Linked DNA regions of Cricetulus griseus. The protein of the gene in region 2 purifies or fractionates together with the protein of the main gene of each other region. This does not show direct contact. Links are inferred from orthologs where the notes say so. Each region holds a gene or a part of one and is shown on either strand. Other genes may lie near its edges.

Region 1 (10,324 bases), about 20 Mb from region 2:
AACATTCTCATACTTAACTTGAATGGCCATTCCCTTTGTATTTTCAGAAACTGACTTGTTCTGTGGGCTGAAAGATGCCCCCAGAGGAGTCCTAAATTGTATGCCAATTGCTAATGTTCTGTTACTATGGGGACGGTAGCTTTATGTATAATCCAAACTCAGGAAGCTAAGGCAGGAAGATTGCCAAGAGTTTGAGGCTAGACTGGTTTATAAAGTGAGTTCCAGTTTGGAATACAGAGTGGGACCTTATGTCAAAATAAAGGACAAGAAAAAATTATGGGTGCTGGTGGCATGTGCCTTTAATCCCAGCACTAGGGAGACAGAGGCAGGTGGATCTCTATGAGTTCCAGGCCAGTCTGGTCTACATAGAATTCCAGGCCAGCAAGGGCTACAATATGAGACTCTGTCTCAAAACCAAAAGAGGAAAGAGGAAAACAAAACAAAACAACAGAAAGATCTTCAAGGGAGCCCAGTGAAACAGATAGCCTGAGAATCTGATTTTGGATTCACAGCACCAATGTAAAAGCCAAGCACGATCACACATCTATGACTCTAGCATGGGGGTTGAGGGTTGGAGATAGGTGGATCCCTGAAATTTGCTGGCCAATCTGTGAATTTTAGGTTCAGTGACACACTGATACACCTTGTCTCAGAAGATTGATAGGGTGAACAGAATTTAAGACACTCAACACCAACACACACACACACACACACACACACACACACACACACACACACACACGTTATGTATACATATGTGAAGGCAGGGTTGAAATGAGTTCACCAGACAAAAGATAAATGATAAGTAGGTGTTTTATTAGGGAAGAACTTACACAGATAAGAGTAATAACCTCTGTGGCCTTCCTGCTCCAGGAGATGCAGTCTCTGCCCTTCCGATGATTTCCAAGACCCAAGAGAGTGTGTGCCCACAGCTCCTCTACCTTAAAGGGGTCACCTGAAACCATGCCCAAATGGTGTGGCCACTATTACACATTCACTGGCAAGATGCCACTATAATTCCCCTTTTTGTCTAAAGAAGAAGGTTTAAGCCTGATACAAAAACTATATACAATGATAACAAATGTCAAGTATATTCCAGGAGAAGGAAAGGTAAAAACATACACAAATTAAGACCCACAACCAGCAAGAGCAATATTGAGCAATAGACACATTCTACATGTGCAGTTTCAGGGTAATGGCATATAACAAAGATTACTCTAATAGCTGTCCTAATCTGGAAAGTCTAAGTCTTGTACCTAGTATTTTCTATCTAAGATAAGAGAGGATATTATCTGTGACTGTCTAGCCTTCAACCTCATTAAAGACCTGAGAAGGACAAGAACATTACTAGGGTAGGCAGGAAGTGCAAGTGTGTGACTTCCTAAAGGTGCAAGAGAAGACAGAAACAGCAGGCTACCTGGACAGTCACCCAAGGTCTCACAGTAATGTCCAGACAACCAACTTTGGCTAAGGCCTAGAGTATCAGACAGACCATCTCAGAAGGAGGGAAATTGAAAGACTGTCTTACCCTGACTTGGCAAGGTTTAGCAGTTTAAGTTTATCTCCTGCTAGCCCAGTTAGGACAGCGTGTCCAAAGTCAGTTGTTGCAGTGGGGGCAGTTCTTTGCCCAAGAGGCCAGTAGCCAAGAAGAGAACAAACTCCAAATGGAGTGTCATTGGTGTCTATCATACTCTCGGGAATAAGTTGGTGCTGTCAGGAGCAATTATGTCTCATGTCAACGGAGTTTTAAATTATTAAAACATTTAAATGCCATATTCTGTAGGTCTTTGAAGTGTCTGAAGATCAAATATCTATGTTGGGTACATCTTTGAACACATATAGAACCTCACTAACATCATTAGGTATAAGAAGCATGGGTAACTATAATCTGTAATTTTCAGAAACATAATTGCTCAGTGACTGAAGCTTCCCAAAATAATTTAAACAATCTTAAAACTGGTGTGTAGCATTAGGACAATGACCTCAAATTTGTAAATTTAAACATATATGTGTGTAGCATTAGGACAATGACCTCAAATTTGTAAATTTAAACATATATATGTAAATTTCTAAAATAGAGGTAGAACTGAAATGTCTTGGCTAGAGGTAGAACTGTATAGTGCAACATAATAAAAATATCCTAAATTATATCAATATACAAAATATCTCAAGCATATGTAGAAGCATACATACATAGAATATGGTAAAGAAAGTTTTATATTTGTGCACAAAACATCATAAACAGAAAGAAGAAGTCTACATAGTATGACAAATATAATATACAATTATCCAAAACAGGAATACAAAGTTAATTTTACATAAGTTTTAACATATAAGAATCGGTAACAATGTAAGTTGTCTATAGCTAATAGTTGCTAAAATAATTCACAAGAAGATATGTTAATCTCCATCTTCACATATACACACACATATCACACACATATTCACACTTATTTTTATTTTATGTGCATTAGTGTTTTACTATGGGTGTCAGGTCCCCTGAACTGGAGTTACAGACAGTTGTGAGCTGCAAGTGGGTGCTGGGAATTGAACTCAGTTCCTCTGGAAGAGCAGTCAGTGCTCTTAACCTGTGAGCCATCTCTCCAGCCCCCTTACACACATTTTTAAAAGACACCCCCCATGCTAGCAGCTTGAAACATTACATTTGTTACTTTGCAGTTTGTTAGGCGCCTTGGAGCAGTATACCTGGGAAATAAGGTACAGGAACTTCTCTGAGATGGAAGCCAACATATGAGCTGGGCCTGCAATCTCTCAGAGACCTCACCGGGGCCAGATGATTTAGTTCTAAACTGGTTCCTTCACTGAAGTGGACAAACTGGCTGAGTCAATAGACAAAATGTGTCTCATGGCTTTGCTACAGCGGTCTCCCACCACCATTTCCCCCAGCGGCCTCTCAGTTACAGACATCAAGTACTACTACTTTTTGTATGGGGGCTGTATGCATGGATACTGGGAAGAGACCTCCATTTTAGAGGGTGGTTACCTCAGTCATACGTACCTACCTAAAACCAAAGCTTTTGAACTCCAAACACATATGACCCAGAGTGTGTTGGAAGTTTCTGGGTTGTTTGGTGTTTATTTTTGTAGTTCACAATTGGGATCAAAAGCACTTACCCCAGGCTACATATGGCACTAACAGTGAAGACTTAAAAGCACAAATCAGCTCTGGGCTAGGGTTCTTTTGTGTGGTGCCCTCCCCTGCCCCTTCCTCTTTATCCTGCTGCTGCCTCAGTCAGTCAAGATGTACTCTTCATGGCCAATTAAATGTTGTTTTGCTTATTTGTTTTGTTTTTTTGAGACAGGGTTTCTCACATAGATCCACCTGCCTCTGCCTCCTGAGTGCTAAGATTAAAGGCATGTGCTACCACTGCCCTGCTAAAATGCTTTCTCTTTTAAGCTGCCTTGGTGGTGGCATTTTTGTCTCAGCAATAGAAAAGAAACAGACACACCCATTCTCTAGTGCCACAACACCCCTACCACGTAGGGAAGACAGTATCTTTTCTGAACAGGAGTCTTGGCTCTGAGGACTAAAAAGGAGCTGACCATAGGTAAGCCAGGTGTGCCACTCCCAGTGTTCATCCCATAAATACTTGGCAGGGAGGGTCTAGCTTTGCTTATAGTTTGATACTGCAAGTGGGTGAGTTTCTACAGGCTCAGCCAGACCTTGTCTGTGGACCACACCAGGGGAACAGACAGGATGCTGAGCACAGGAGACTGAGCAAAGAAGGAGAAACACATCCTCACATGAAGGGACCCCCATGAGACCTTAGCAAGGCCCTTTGGAAGATCCTCACTGCGGGGGGGTGGGGGTGGGGTGGGGTTGGGGGAGGAAGCACTTCCCAGAGGGAAGACAGCGTTTGTATGGAAGCTGTGGGAAGGAAAGCGATAGTGCCCTCCTGTCTTCTGTTCTAAGAACAGCTTCTAGCACTAAGGCAGTTCTAACTCGAATTTAGGGGTACTCTGGGGTCTGGTGGCTGGCTCTGGGACCCAGCAAGCATTCTGGATGGGAAGTCCTCTCTGAGCTCAGTGTCCCTACGTGACGAAACGCAAGCCAAGTCCCTGGAGAGGAAGGAGCCCAGCCAATGAAACCTTAACTACACCCCACGTCCAATGTTTGAAGTAATTTGATTTATTTGCTTTCCTTCAGCAGCTGTGGCAGAGGAAACCGAACCCCAAACCCTGGTCGCAGACTGGGTCTGACTCCGGGAAAATTTCACAGACGGAGGGAATAGGGTCGCCGCGACTGTAGGCCTAGGATAGCCCCCAGAAGGAAGCCTCAAGACAGGGTAGGACCGATGAGTGGGAGGGGGCGGAGTCAGACTCCGGGCAGTGAGTGAGGCGGAGCCAACTGTGGGTGGGGGCGGATTAGGCTCCGGGGGAGTGGGCGGGGCGAGGCGGGAAAAGTTCCGGGAAGGTCGGTTGTTGCTCCCGCTAGGCGCAGAAGTTCGAGGATCCGGGGTCCCCGAGAAGGTCCACAGCCATGTCGTCTGGGGATGCAAGGACTGGCAGACAGGACGGTGCCCCGCGCGCGGCCGCCGCGCTCTGTAGCCTGTACCACGAGGCCGGCCAGCAGCTGCAGCGCCTGCAAGATCAGCTGGCCGCGCGCGACGCCCTTATCGCGAGCCTCCGCACCCGCCTAGAGGCTCTGGAAGGGGACACGGCGCCGTCGCTCGTGGACGCGCTTCTGGATCAGGTGGAGCGCTTCCGTGAGCAGCTGCGGCGGCAGGAGGAAGGAGCCACCGAGACTCAGCTGCGCCAGGTTCGGAGCGGGCGCTGCTGCCCCGGGAGGCCTCGGGAGCTTGTTGGAGTGTAGCCCGAGTCCGGTCCTGATGGTCGCGCTGATGATATGAGGGTGCGAGGATATGAGGCGTGTGGTGCGGGTCTGAAGAGCGTGAGGTCCAGAGGCATGGGCGTCTAGGGGGAACGCGGGGGTCTGAAGGGAGCAGGGTTGTGAGGGGGCACGAGGTCCTGAGACTCAAAGGGTCTGAAGGGCGCGGGGGTCTGAGACACAGGGAACCCTGAGGGGGGGTCTGAAGGGCGAGAGTATGTGGAGTCCAGGGTCCTGAGCGGTTGGAGATTCATTTAACGCACAGAGGTGAGCAGGTGTCTCTGGGACACAGGTTTCTGGTGAGCACCAGGGTGTTAGGGATGCGGACATTTGAGAAGTACCCGGTCCTCAGGGGCTCAGGTTATGAACAGTTCCGAGGGACATATAATGGAGGTAAGTTTGGGAGAGACCCCCTGGGTCTGTCGACTTTGAGGGGCACTGTTGAGGTAAACTTGCTCATGAAGTTCTGTGTGGCAGATCTGAGGAGCAGGAGGTTATCCTGGAATGCAGGGATCTGTGGAGCTTGAGGTACTGAGGTAGTCTTGAACACATGGTTCTGTTGGTAGTTAGCTTCTCCAATCTGTGCTCCAGACCCCAAAGGGGTGTGTAGCTGTTTTCATCACAGCTCTGTTGCTTTCAAGAGATATCATGACCAAAGCAACTCTTATAAAAGAAAGCATTTCAATGGGAGGGGGTTGATTACAGATTTAGAGGGGTTATTATCATGGTGGGGAGTATGGCTGCTCGAAAGCAGGCATGGTGCTGGAGTAGTAGCTGAGAGCTACATTCTGATCCCTAGGCAGAGAGAGACAATGGGCTTGGTGTGGACTTTTGAAACCTGAAAGCCCAGCCCCAGTGACACAGTTCCTCCAACAAAGCCACACCTCCTAATCCTTCTCAAATAGTGCCATCCCCCCAACTAAGCATTCAAATATATGAGTCCATGGGGGCCGTTCTTATTCACACATCAGGGCACTTGGTTTGAAGGAGATGGAGTTCTGAGCAGGGCTAATGTTCAGGGTTCAGAGGGTGCAGGGTTTAAAGGGACACTATAGGTTCTGAGGCATGGAGCCTAGAGCGTCTCAAGGACATACAGGCATTGCTTTTTGACAATGTGTGTAGGTTCCAGTGTGTATGTGTGTTGAGTTGTGGGAATGCAGGTTTTGTGTATTGTGTTCTGTCTTAGGGAGGTCTTCTGTAGAATGTGGGTTTCTGAACCTTGTTTGGGGCGCCAGGGACCTGGGAGATGCAAGGGTTCAAGGGATGGAGCTCTGAGAGAGAAGACCCATGCCTTTGATTGGTGGCTTTTAGTATTATATTGCAAGAAGTGACAGGAAGAGCCTGTCAAGTATGTGATAATTTGTAAATTCTTTGGTTCTCCTTGTCATTTGGTGTTATTTGGCTTCTGTGAGATACCATAAGCATACAAAACTGAACCAAGGGAAATGTTTTTCTTATAAATGTTATTTGTAAATCAGACACCCTCCCCCCACATTTGGATTCATACTGGCATGTTACTGCATTTGGTCCATAGCTATCCTGGTTTTCCCAGCAAAGAAAGTAAGCCTGCCTGTAAGGAGAATGTTTGTTTCCAAGATTTCACCACCACAGCTAGATTTTTCTTTCTTTCTCCTATTCCTACTCCCTTTGGTGTTAGGGATTGACTTAGAGCCTCACACATTCTAGGCAAGTACTCTACCATTTAGCTGCATCTCCAGTTCTCTTTTTACTTTTTAGTTTGAGACCTGGTCTCACTAAGTTACACAATCTGACCTTAAACTCACTGTGAATCCCAGGAAGGCCTTGACTTTGGATCCTCCTGCCTTAGTCTCCCAAGTAGATGGTATTACAGGACTTTGCCACCAGTTCTGGCCACATCAAAATTTAAGAGGGAAAAAATGCATTTTTTTTTCTGATGGTAAAATTCAGAACATCTGAAAAATAAAGGCAAGAATAAAATAATCCCACATGCTTTTTGCACATGGCTTGCCTGTTTTTCCTTTGCAAAGACATATATTCTTGGTATTGTTGAGTTGACCCTTATTATACAGATTTACTTTCTATTACATTGTCATTGTTTTCTATATGTATTATTTAAAGCACCAAGAGCATCCAGATGTCTTCCACTCCACTTCTCCCTCTTTCTGGAAGGAGAGTTGTAAAATAGAGCAGAAGGGAAATGTAGAGTTTACCTCGTCTGTGCCACTAACTTAGTGTTGTGCACATCAGAAGCCACAGATGAGTACAGAGTGGAGCTCTGAAGACACCCCAGAATGTGTTATCAGAATATCAGTGGGAACAGTTGGGGTAAAAGAGCTCCCCATAATCATAACAGAACTGAATTTGCAGCCTGGCAGCCATTGGTGTTCAGTGCAGATGCATCCACAGGAAGCTCTCTAGAGGCCCAGACAGAACCAGTCTGTGGTTCCAGTACTACTGGTCCTTCGTCCTCTGACATATGGGTTTTGTTCAGGGATTTTAAGACTTATTTGCAATTTTATTTAGGAAATTTTGTTAACATTGTGGTGACTTTAAATGTTACAAAACTATTGCATGGCTTCTTAGTTTGCCAAAACAAATTGACTAAATGTATTAGCAGTAGACATATGTATCAAAAATTACCCTGTCAAAATAACTCTGAACAATCTGGGCAATGGTGGCACATACCTTTAATCCCAGTGCTCAGGAGGCAGAGGCAGGTGAGTTCGATGCTGGAATGGTCTACAAAGTGAGTTCCAGGACAGTCACACAGAGAAACTTGTCTCAAAAAACAAACATAACAAACAACAACAAAACAACCAAAACAAAACAATCCTGTTCATTTTCATTTCAGAGTTGTTTTTTTCTATGATATAGCTTCTTTGGTCATGTGGTTTGCAGAGGTATGCACAAGATAAGGCTAATGTAACTAATATAATACATTAGTTATTAATGGAATACATTCTATGACTATATACTAGTAACTGTCTTAGTTACTTTTCTGTGAAGAGATACCATGACCAAGGCAACTTGTAAAAGAAAGAATTTAATTGGGGTTTTGCTTACAGTTTCAAGGATGAATCCATAACCATCAGATAGGAAGAGAGGCAGCAGGCAGGCATGGTGCTGAGCAGTAGCTGAGACCTGCATCTGATCCACAGGCAGGTGACAGAGGAAGAGACTGGGCTTGGTGAAGGCCCGCATCCCAAGTGACTGGCATACCTTTTCCAACAAGGCCACGCCTCCCATTCCTTCCCAAAACAATTTCACCCAACGAGGGACCAAGTATTCAAATATCTGAGCCTATGGGGGCCATTCTCATTCAAACCACAGTAACTAATGTAATACATTCTATGATGACAAATATGTGTGAGCACAGTTTTGGCAAATGTCAAAGAGACTATGTGCTTGTCATATCAATGCAAATGCAGTAGCACTTTTAAATTTCTTACCATCTTTTTCTTACCTCTTAATGGCATTATATTCTACTAGTAAATGCAACATGGTTATGCTTTAAATCATTTGTTCTTCATCTGTAACAAAGGAAAATAACTGCAGCTGGCCTTAATTTTAAAATCTAATAATGTGGGTCTAGAAAGAAGCTCAGCAATTAAGAGTACATACTGCTCTTGTAGAGAACCCAAGATTGGATCACAGCATCAAGAGGCTCACAAGTGCCTGTAACTCAAGCTTCAAGGTTTTGTTTTGTTTTTGTTTTTTTCATCCTCTCTGGCCTCCATAGTAACTTGAATGCACATATACATACTCACATACAGATACATAAATTAAAATAAAAAGCTGTTCTGGGCAATGGTGGCACACACCTTTGATCCCAGCACTTGGGAGAGGCAAGTGGATCTCTCTGAGTTTGAGGCTAGGTCTACTTGAAAAACAAACAAACAAATAAGTAAATATAAAATGCTGGGCATGGTGGTGTATGTCTTTAATCTAGAACCCCCACAGCAGAGGCAGGTGGATCTCTATGAGTTTGAGGCAAGCCTGATCTACATAGTGAGTTCTAGCTAGAGCTACATAGTGAGGTACTGTCTCAAAAAGCCAAAGTAGAGTTCCAGAACAGCCAGGGCTACACAGTGAAACCCTCAGTCTTGAAAAATTACCCCCCCAAAAAAGCCAAAATAAATGAATAAATAAAGTCTAAAAGAAGGAAATAGGGTTGACAAGATGACCCAATGGGTAAAGGCAGTTGCCATCACCACCAAGCCTGATGACCTGAGCTTGATCCCAGAACTTGTGTGGCAGGAGAGAACAGAGTCCTGCAAGTTGACCTCCACATTCATGCTAAGTCATTCAGGCTTTTCTGCACTCTCTCTCTCTCTCTCTCTCTCTCTCTCTCTCTCTCTCACACACACACACACACACACACACACACACACACACACAAACAAATTAACAAATAAACACAATTCTTTTATTTTTTACTTTTTGTTTTTTTGAGACAGGTTTTCTCTGTGTAGCCCTGGCTGTCCTGGCACTCGCTCTGTAGACCAGGCTGGCCTCGAACCCACAGAGATCCACCTGCCTCTGCCTCTCGAGTGCTGGGATTAAAGGAGTGCTCCTCCTCCTCCTCCTCCACCACCACCACCACCACCAGGCATAAACACAATTCTTAAAGAAAAAAAAAGAAATAGTAACGTGAAACAAATGATTAGTTACTTGTATCTTTCACTAAAGAAATGGTAAACATAATTATTTATCCATGTGTAGTAAAATATATTGTGATTATAGGCAACTGATTTAACAAGATTGTATAGGAATTTAGATTTCCAAGGGAGCATGCGTTATTCTTCCTAGAAAGCAAAGACAGTGGCAAAAAAAAAAAAAAAAAAAAAATCTCCCAGGCAAATGGCAAGGGACAAGAGACCACAGGTAATCAAATCTGTACAGCATTAGCAACATCAAACAACATACAGCTTCTATAATAGTTCCCTTGAGTTTTGATCCAGAAAAATTCCAGTGGAGAAGCAGGGTAATATACAGTATGCTAAAAGTCCCAGCCACTCAGGAGGCTGAGGCAGGAGGATCACAATTTTGAGGTTAGCTTGGATTACATAGCAAGACTTTGTATTTTTAAAACAGTTAAAATATATACAAACTTAAAAAAAGAAAAAAATCCAATGATAAAAAGCCATGATAAATTCTTCAAGAGGGAATTAGCACAAAGTTCTCTTCCTAAAAATGCTAACATCAAAGAAAACCATGCAGTTGTTTAGCTGCATCCTTTAGCAGTTAAAATGCAATGAAAAAGGAATTTCTTTTCTTGTATATCTGGGATTTCTTCACTCAGTCCAAAGGTTGGCTTTCCTGGTCCCCCTTTCTATTATATATGACAGAAAACTTTTTTAAACATTCCAGATGTGTCCTAGAATGTACATAGTCCATATGTAAAAACTGCACCTTGAATGACTGGAATGTGCCAATGGGAAGTATTAGACCATAAGCAACTATGAAGCTGTTTCAAATGTCCTGTAACATCTA
Region 2 (10,324 bases):
ACAAAATCATGAACACTTAAAACAGTATGAGGTTTTGTTGTTGTTGTTGTTTTGCAAGTTTTTTCTTTGCAACTTACCTATGCTGTTCTCACATGTGAACTTTCTAGGTGACAATGTGTCATAACAATATCAAAAGACTGCACATTCCTCCAGGCCTTAAATGTAATCCCTCGCACGGAAGGAAAATAAAATTCATCGCAATAAGATATATAGTGGCTGGAGGTGACAGTGAGTCAAACATGGTTCCCGGGCTAGAGACACATATCAGTGAGTAAAGTGATGGCCAAACGAGCATAAGGAGCTGAGTCCAGACCCCCAAGAACCCACATAAAGAACAGATGTGCTAGTGAAGTCTGAAACTTCAGCGCTCCTGAGTGACTTGGCCCTGTGCTTTCAGCCAGAGTAAAGAATGCAGACACTAAACAAAGGTAAGACACCAGTCTTTCATCCTACTTTTAGAGCAGGTGTTCTCAACCTGTGGAACTCGACCCCCTTGGGGTCATATACCAGATATTTGCATTACGATTCATAACCGTAGCAAAATTACAGTTATGACTTAGCAACGAAAAAATGTTCTGGTTGGGGTCACCACAACATGAGCAACTGCTAAAGGGTCTCGGTGTTAGGAAGGGTGAGAACCAGTGGTCTAAAGCTTTGTAGAACCAAGTGAGAAGTCTGCTTTCTAGCAAAGGCAGCTCCTAGTCCCTCCCCATTGCAGTAGAGGTCTGCCTGTCCAGCACCACCTGTGCTCTAAAGTTCCACCGTCATCACCAACCTTCTTCACCGCCTAGTCCACCCTTACACTGCACGATGCATGTCACCTGGGAAGGAAATTTCCACCCAGAGGCTAACAGCACCTACTGACATCTACTTTTTGTTTGTTTGTCTCTCCCTTCCCCTCTTTCACTGTTACTCTGTAACACAGACTGGCCTCAAACTCATAACCATCCCTCTTCTTTCTCCTAAGTGTTAGGATTATAGCAATTAGCCAATATTGGCTTTCATTTTCCTTTACCAATTTCTGTTTCTTAATTTCTCTGGCATCTAAGGCAGTGTTACTGTCCTACTGTGCAGTAATAGGGAGGCAGATGGTGCCAGGCCCACATAAATCTTTCACTTGTGACCCTCATCTCTGCCCTGGCAAGGCAGCCTAAAAGGTGTTACATATTTGTTATGTGTATGTATGTCAGAAACATGGACAGATATGTTTGTGTCTTTCTATAATGTCAGAATATATTGAGTACATCAATTTTGCCAGCTACGGTTTCCAAAGTAGTTTCCAGCTGCTGGTTGGAGACCAGTTCTTTTATTTTAACCTCAGTTATTAGCATTGACTCTCAGGTCAGGTCACACAATACATACACGTATGTGTGTGTATACATGTATACGTGGTTAAACAATGCCTAAGAAAGGGTAAAGAGGCCACAGAATTCAGAGGCAGAAAGCATACACAGGCACAAGGAAGAGTATGGGAGATTGGGCAAGAAGTCCAACTTCAGACATCCAGCTGTTCAGACACAGAGCTGTTTAGGTCAAATGCTAGTCCAAGTCACAGGACATTTCCAGGGTCAGTTTGATGTGAGCTGAATGTCACCTGCAGGAGACTCTGTTGAAGCTTGAGACTGGGACAGAGTCAAAAGGAGTCCTAGCACTTATCCTAGATGAGGATTATGGCAGTTAACTGGGTGGCAGTTAGCATATCTGTCACATTCTGGTCTTGGGGTGCTCCTTCTTTTATAGAGTCAGGTAAGGGGGTTGATTGTATGTTACATGATCACTAAGTTCATGTTCGGGGCACTTCTGATTGCCATTTGATATATTTAGGCTTGGTCTGTGTCTCCTGGTATGATGGCAGATAATTATAAGTGAGAGAGTAGACTCATTCTTTTTTGGCACTTACACTCAAAACAGAATAACTCAGGTCATGGTTGTTGCTTTATAAAATGGATTAATTCATTTTGGTGGCTTGAATGGGAATGGCCCCAATTGGCTCATATATTTTAATTTGGTTCAAAGTTGATGAAACTATTTGGGAAGGATGAGGAGGTGTGTCACAGGGTGGGCTTTGATGTTTCAAAAGCCCACACCATTCCCAGTTGGCTCTTCCTCTCTCTCTGCCTCGTGGTTGTCCCAAGATGTAGGCTCCTAGCTACTTCTCTGGTGCCCTGCCTCCCATGCTCCCCACCATAATGGTCAGGGACACCAACACTCTGGAAACATGAGCCCTCAAATTAAATGCTTTCTTTTATAAGTTACCTTGGTCATTCATGCATTTTGTCACTGTGATAGAAAAGTAACTGAGGTGGCTAGGTGATATTCCACATCGCAGAGTAAGTCAGAGCAGGCCCAGCCTGTTCTCCTCAATATTGGTACTGCAATATGGAAGGTACCTGGGTCACTCCTGGAGGAGAGCCAGTCAACACTCAGGGGGCTTTGTACTAACTTGTTGAAATTGAGGTTGTTAGTGATAGTCCTGAGCATAATATAAATCCACACCCTGCACCAGCTAGTACTCCATTTCTGTTTTCTTCAACACTCTTCCAAAAGTTTATACCTACCACATCCATCAGTCTCTCCTCAACCTGCTTCAACCCAGCTTTATGATCACCGTTTTTATAGCTCAGTTTTCAAGTCATAACTGACCTCCATTTCAAAAAATTATTTGATTGAGGCAGGGTCTCCTAATATAAGCTAGGCTAGCCTTGAACTTCAGACCCTTTGGCATCAGCTGGCCTAGTCCTGGGATTACTGGAAAGTGCTATTCCACCCAGTTTAATTACTCTATTTTGCCAAAATCAAGTTCATTAAAAAAAATCCTCAGCTGCTTCAATTTTCCAAGCTAGCCCTGACGTCAAATATCTGACCTCCTTTTACTATTTCTGCACAAACACTAGTACAGTCAAGGTCTCAATTCCATTACTACAACAGTCTAACTGCTCTGCCTTCACCCCAGGTAGCACACACTAATAGCTTAACATATCAGCCAGGGCAAAATCTGCAAATGTAAGTATATATCAATTGTATGGTTAAGATTTTCCAATAGCAATCATTGACTCAGCTCAAGTATCACTTCCATAGAGTATCCCCTTTAGAGAACCCAGGCAATTTCTATTACTCCAGCCACCTTATTTTCTTTATAGAAATAAAGTAACAAGAATATTTATGTGTTTTCTTTTTGAGACAGGCTCTCCTATAGCCTAGGCTGGCTTTGTAAATTCATTATACAGTGAAGTATGACCATGAACCCCTGCTACTCCTACCTCTGCCTCCTGTGTGCTGGGATTACAGACATGTAACACCCAGTGCTAAAAGTACCACAGGCTGTTCTCTATAAACCCCAATAACTAGCAGCCTTATCCATAGTAGAGTAACAACAGCTCCTGCCCAGCACAAGGTCTAAAAACTTGGTGAGAATTTAAATCTCTCTTGGCTTCAAGATGTAGCTTCCTATTTACTTTTTCTTTAGGTAAAAACAATTAAGCAAGTATAAAATATATTGCATGGATGTGGCTACAATAAAGGCTGAAGTGTCTGAGTGTGTGTGTGTGTGTGTGTGTGTGTGTGTGTGTGTGTGTGTGTGTGTGTTCCAGAGTGCTGGACGTAATTCACCCTACTAATTGCTTTGTTGTTGTTGTTGTTTTTTCTTTGTGGTTTGCCTATGATTGTGTTTAATGAAAGAAAAAACTGCTATTTCTACCTTTTGTGAAGTCACTTTTGAATTGACAGATTTTAATTATTTCCTTAGGAGTGTCCTTCACTTTGGGTACTTGTATGACAGGATGGTTTCTTTCTCTTTTTTTTTTAAATGACAGGATGACATATATTTTAATTATCTAGTTGACTTTTTTTGGCGTCCTGCCAACTGCATGCATTCGGGCACACGTGGAGGTCAGAGGACAACTTTTGTAAGTTGGGTCCTCTTCCTTCCATGGATTGAACTCGGGTTGTCAGGCTTGGTGGCAAGCGCAGTTACTCCCTAAGCCATTTTGTCAGCATTCAGGATGCCATTTTTTTTTTTTTTTAATTTCCCTTTCATACTTGTTTTAGTCAGTAAGTGACTGGAGAGCGCAAGAGGTGGAGCCAGATAACCCTGGGTTATTTTTGTTGTTGAGACAATCCACCTGCCTCAGCCCCTCGAGTGCTGGGAGTGCTTTAAACTGGGCTGGGTAATCTTAAATCGTGCGCTCTTAAGTACCTACCTACGAGCTACTTCTCCAAACCTCAGTCAACTCGTGTATACAATGAAGATGATTTACCAAGAGACCGGGTACCTAAGAGGCAAACCAGACCTGTCTACGAGTACAAGTTCGGGCCCGGCCTTAGCTGGTGGGTATCTCGGTCAAATCTCTGGACGTCCTGTTCACGTACACGGACTGGGGCGGGGGCCTCGCCGCGCAGCCCCTCGGGGCTGAGAACGCTTGGTACGTAAAAGACGTAATGTCGATACAGAGCGAAAATCAGACTGCGGGGGTCCCCGTATGCAAATTCACGCCTTGCAGCCGAACGCGGGCGCCGGCGCTTCCGCACTTCCTCCGAGGGCTCCGGCGGCGGCCGGCGGGCCGGCGGGCGCGGCGGGCGGCCGCGCTGCGGCGCGGGGGCGGAGATTTGCATGTGCGAAATAGGGAAGAGGGGGAACCACCGCTCCGAAAACCCCGGGCGGGCCTCGGGCGGCCGAGGACCCGCCTCCGGCCGAGCGACGTCACGGACACGCCCCTCGTCCCCTGGCTTCAAGCCGCGTTCTGAAGGCCACCGGAGGAGGGGGATTTCTCTGGGGCCCGCGGCTTCTCACGCGCGCGCGCGGAGCCGTCACCGCGCCCGCCGCCCCCCCCCACTCCCCACCCCGGGAGCTCCTCGCGCGAGCGCGCCTCTCGCCGTGGCTCTGGAGGGGAGCGGAGCGCGCGCCCCCGCCCTGGCCCCGCCCCCCGCCCCGGGTAGGCGGTGGCGCGAGTGACGCAAGCAGCGGGAAATCCCCGTTCCGCCAGGCGGTGCGCCCCGCCCCCTGCCCCTGCCGCGGCATCCTGGCAGGGCGACACCAGGACACTAGTGACCCGAGCGTGAAGATTCAGGGGTGGGAAGGTGTGAGCCGCAAACCCACCGGGGCCCGGGAAAGAAGAGGAGGCCCGGGGGTGGGCAGAGGACTGGGGTCGGGCTGCAGAGGCTGCTCGGCCTCCTGACTGACTGACTAGCCGGCTGGCTGGCTCATTGGCTGACTTGCTGGTTGGCGGGCTGGCGGCTGGCTAACTGACCGACTGGCTGGTTGATTGACTGACTGACTGGCTGACTGACCGGCTGGCTGAGTGGCTGACCCGCTGGCTGACTGGCTTGCAGCCTCCGGCCGGACGCTGGAAGCCGCGGCGGGCGGCGCGCAGAGCCGAGCCATGGCCTCGGGTGAGTACCGAGGTGAGCATCTGCGAGTCCCGGGAAGGCTCGGTTTGGGGTTGGGACATTCTGCCTTTCAAGTCGTCTCCTCTGGCAAACTGTCAGCCATTTAAAAAGTTACCTGCTTCGGGGTTTGCGTGCGAAATCAAAGCGGCGCACTGTAATCTGATCTCCTTGTTGTAATAGCCAGAACCTTCGAAATTCCCACCGGCGTGGTTTTAGGATGGGGAGGGGGGCGCGTGAGCTCGATAAAGGAGGCAGACGAGCCTGGCATTTAAAGACCGGCCTTGAGACGCCAGTTTACATCTTTGAACAAAAAGAGGAACCTCAGGACCTCGGGCGAGCTTTCTTTTTTAAATCCTATCGTGCCAGGAGCTAATCGCTCTTGGGCTGACAGTTGTACAGAATGTGGCGCGGCTGTAAGTGTCCTCGGTGGCGTTTTAACTCGTTCCAAGTGAAAACACTAGCTTTTTCCCTCCCTCAGAGCTGAAGGGATTCCTTGTCTAGTTTGCCTCTCAGAGACGTCGACCCCTCTGCTCCCAACCTGCTGGAACATTTTGTTAGCAAGAGGGCGAGACGAGTTGTCGATTGTGCTTTAAAATAACTAGTGGGGAAAATAAAATAACTAGTGGGGATGAAAAGTGTGATCACTTAGTGTAAATGTTTCTTTAGGGGGCCACCTTTATAAGAAAACAGTTTACTTGCTCGCTTTCTGTACAGCAGGGCAGTCATATTAGGCGAGTTCATCCAGCAGCCCCAGGTGGTGGTGGGCGCTTTCCTGGTCTTGGGAACTGAAGCCACACTTTCAGTCTAGCGGGATGCTGACCCCTGATCTTCCCAGTGACCCTTCAGGGTCTCTGAGGAGAAGGCAGCCGACGTCTAGCAGAGAAGAGGAAGTAGAAAGCTTAATGAACTCTTTTAAGAGTTGAACAATGCCATAACTCCTACTGTAGGCCGTAAAGGAAACTGGGGTGTTTCACATGACACTTGATTTCAGTTTGTCTGTGGTTTTCATGAGAAAACAAATGTAGTTTAAAATATTTCAACTTTCTCTTTACCCATTTAAATGAACCCAGACTTTCAGGTAATCTTGTAAATTCGTAAATGTAACTCATGCTCAGATTAAAAACAGAAAGAAGGCTCCAAATATTTCATTAACTCACTGTAACCAGAAAAGATGTTGCATGAAAGTTGTAAAGTGGCAGGCTTTGTTAAATAAGACAGCTCTGCCCTCATCTACTTAACAGGATTTTAATGTAGTACATGAATGTAATACTTGAACTTTTTCAAGAGAAAAATCATTTATTACGTAAAGTACTGTAAGACAGCCATGATTTTGAAGTGTCATACAATTGAAATTTGTCTAATGACACATATTTTGTGCTGTTATACAAATGTTTCCCAAAATTAAACCGGGGGAATTTTTAAAGAATGGCAAGAATTTCAAAGCTGTGTTGGGGTTGTAGCTCTTGAGAGTGAGTTTACTCAGCTTCTGTGAAGCCCTGGGTTGGATTCTCAGTACTGTCAGGGAAAAAAAAAGAAAAGAAATCTGTAAGTTGTAGTGTCGTTATCTTCTTGCTTTTTTCTTAATCAAGGGCTGCCCTAATTAGACTATTTAAAATACATCGTGTCATTTTAATTGTAATTTGGTTAATTGAAACCTCTAGGCAAAATGTAGTTTAAAGGAGTCTGGGTACATTATCAGTTATAAAGACCATATAGAGAAAAAATTGTGAAATACATATAAAATCCCCATTCCATTTGGAATAGTAAGTTAAGAACAACAAAATTTGCTCAATTTATCACTAATTTAGATTATTTTTGTAATATGGTATTGAAACCTTGAAAAGTATTCTTATTGCTTATCAAACATTTAAGACCATTTGTTCATTTCTCTCTGGATGTCATATGTAAATAGGTATGTATAATTGAATAGGTGGTGCCTATAATGTAAAAGTATCATAGATCACAATTGCATAAGCAGAATCATATAAATGCCACAAGTAAACAGGATTTTACATGATGATTCTAATTATTGTTCAGGTAAATTAGCAAATTATTACTTCTTATCTAGCCATTAAGCTGCTTTTCATTGCCCCTATAAAAATACTGTGTTTTGATTCTAGCCTTTCAATATGATTAATTGTAGTAGGCAAATCCTATTTACTCTTACTTGCTTTATGCCCATATTTAAAGCTTCTCATTATTTCTTAAAAAGAACAAAATGGGGGGGCACAGATACCTTGTGTGGCACATATTGTAACTACTAATGATTGATACTTATGTCTTTGGTGAAATGTGCTTTAAATTTTAGAAAGTATGTCTTTAGTCACATTTTTTTCTGTAGTATTATTCATCTGTATCACAGAACAGGAAGTACAGAAAGAAATTATTTTTGTAGATGGTACTAGTCACCAACTTTCTGTATGTGAATTTCAAGGTAACCTTTTTTTCTCTAATAAAAGTGAATGCAACTGAGAGACTGCTTACACTTTAATAATAGAGCTGGAAGTTAGGAGTGGTTAGCCAAAACAAATGACTTCCTTTTTTTTTAAAGTAAGACTGCTCACAAATATTTCAGAAACGAAACATATGAAAATCGATAAAAGTGTTATCAAAATTAGTAATGCATAATAAAGAGAATTAGTGAAGAAAATGAATGGCAAAATCATAATTAGGAACACAGAGTATGTGTGGTGTTTTTCTCAAAAAACAATTTAAGGGACTCAGAATATTTTTGTCTCAATTTTCTTCCATCTGTGTTCTCTGCATAATTGTGTTTATGAGCACATGATCTGAATATTGCAAATGAGAATACATTTATCCAAAAGTAATTGTTCATGTGAAATTTGTATTTAACTGAATCTCTTGTATTTTTAAGTCTGAAATCCTAATAGAGATGATTTGATGCTTCCATGTATTTTTTATTCTAGGAAAGACTTTAAACGTTACTTCCTCATTCTAGCAGGTAAAAACCTTAGGTTTTTTTCCTGTACCCACAGCAGTGAAATCTTACTGCAAAGTGTTTCCTTCCCTTTGATTTGCCTTGGGGTATATATATACATCAGTTGAATGCCTCTTGCTTGAAAGTCAGCAGGATATATTAAATTTCTAATATATATTTATATGTTTGTGTGTGTGTGATGTTGTTGTTTTGTTTTGTTTTGTTTTGTTTTTTTTCTGTTAGGGTCTCATGTAACCCAGGATAGCTATATAGCTATGATGACCTTAAACTCCTGATTCTCCTGCCTCAGCCTCCTGAGTGCTAGAATTTCAGGTGTGAGTGACCAGAAAAAGGATAACTCTTAATTACTTTTTCCCAGAATGAATAGAGATGATATTTGGGAATGTATGATTATTAGCCGTTTGCTCCTTTGGGTCCCAGGCAAAGTCTGTTACATAGGATTTCTATAAGACAGAGGCACTCTGATTGGCTGTTCTCAACTCTAGTTAGTATAACCATCATTTGTGTGCTGTATTGTAAATAATAAAGGAGTGATAGTAGTTCAAAATAATACTTTGTTGAAGAAAGCAGTCAAAATCTAGTTTTAGAATGTTTTCTACATTGCACTTGAATACGCTTTCCTTTTTCTCCTTCCTTCCTTTCTTCCTTCCTTCCCTCCTTCCTTCCTTCCTTCCTTCCTTCGTTCCTTCTCTCTCCCCCCTTTCTTTTTTGTGAGTAGAATAGAAAAAGGAATGACAACTAGCCCTGATTGTTTTACCTGCCTTATCCATAATCTCGTTTGTACTTGGATCTGAACTTTGAGTTGCTTTCCTGAATAACTTCATTGTTATTTTTACTTTCTTGTGTTTTAGAGAACTTGGTCTTCAGAGTATTTAGACTAAGTTGGAAGGCTTTTTCAGAAATCTGTCTGGGCTTTATTCTTGAAGAGCTATGTTTCTCTTCAGATGTCTGTGAGGTTAGGGTATAACTTACTGTTTGGAAAAGCTACCTAGGTGGTTTCTGAAGTACAGCCCCAGGACAAATTTTATTCCAGGGACTACTTTTAATCTAAATATTTGCCTTGTGTTCTTCAGGTAGCTGTATTGATTTTAGATTATAGGTTATAGCCATATCTGTTGTTGTGATTTTATGCTTAACTGCTTTTTTCTTGTTATATAAGTAAAGTAATTGATTTTATTCAAAACCTTGGTTGTAATTATATCTCTTCAATTTAATGACTCCTATGACTTTTGTTCTTTCAACAAAAAGATCTCATGGAACAATGTTACTCTTTATCATTCTTTTCATATCTCATCTGTGGTCATAGACCCAGAAGACATCCATTTGGTAGTCAGATTTGTTAGCTTCTTGGATTATGACTTCTTCACTAATATATTATCAAAAATGATTAGTGTGCATATGTGTGTGTGTGACAAGGCATAGTGCTGCATTCCTTTAATCCCAGCACTTGGGAGGCAGAGGCAGGCAGAGCTCTGAATTCAAGGCCAGTCTGGTCTATTAAGCAAGTCCCTGGCCAGTGAGACTGTCTCAAAAGATAAACAAAAAGGAATAGAATAATAATAATCTTTTTCTCAAAATTTCATATTATTTTCAAGTTTAGTTTTATTGTCTCTAAAATGAGATAATAATACCAGTTTTCCTTATGAAGTTTAAAGTTAAGAGGACCAGTGAGAAATACCTATGTATGTTTTAATTAGTATATGTGCACTTAATTCTAACTTCTAATTCTAGCAATAACATTTTAGTAGATATGCCTATTATATATATAATTTGGACAATTGATCTATTTCTAACATTTCGGTGTAATTTCTTTTTAATTTTAAAATCTCATACTTGAATTAGTAAATAGAAATTAATACACAAGTAAATAGTAAATATTAATTAGTAAATAGTAAAAGGAAATGTAAATAGTAAAAATTAGTAAATAGTAAAAAGAGAGTAAATAGACTCAATGTTTTCAAAGAGCATTCCTTTTTGCCT

What was found.
Region 1: the proteins of Rel (region 2) and Tnip2 purify together in Homo sapiens (affinity purification with mass spectrometry; 3 studies listed by BioGRID and IntAct, counting the BioPlex papers as one, with this or other methods). This does not show direct contact. The link is inferred for Cricetulus griseus from reciprocal best matches to the Homo sapiens genes REL and TNIP2.

Annotation. Positions count from the first base shown.
Region 1 is NW_023276807.1:103,494,163-103,504,486, reverse strand, and holds the start of Tnip2 (TNFAIP3-interacting protein 2), read left to right. Parts: upstream 1-4,163; 5' UTR 4,164-4,307; intron 4,308-4,412; exon of another isoform or gene 4,413-4,456; 5' UTR 4,457-4,501; coding exon 4,502-4,780; intron 4,781-10,324. UniProt on the Homo sapiens protein: Inhibits NF-kappa-B activation by blocking the interaction of RIPK1 with its downstream effector NEMO/IKBKG.
Region 2 is NW_023276807.1:83,002,237-83,012,560, forward strand, and holds the start of Rel (proto-oncogene c-Rel), read left to right. Parts: upstream 1-4,967; 5' UTR 4,968-5,378; coding exon 5,379-5,400; intron 5,401-10,324. UniProt on the Homo sapiens protein: Proto-oncogene that may play a role in differentiation and lymphopoiesis.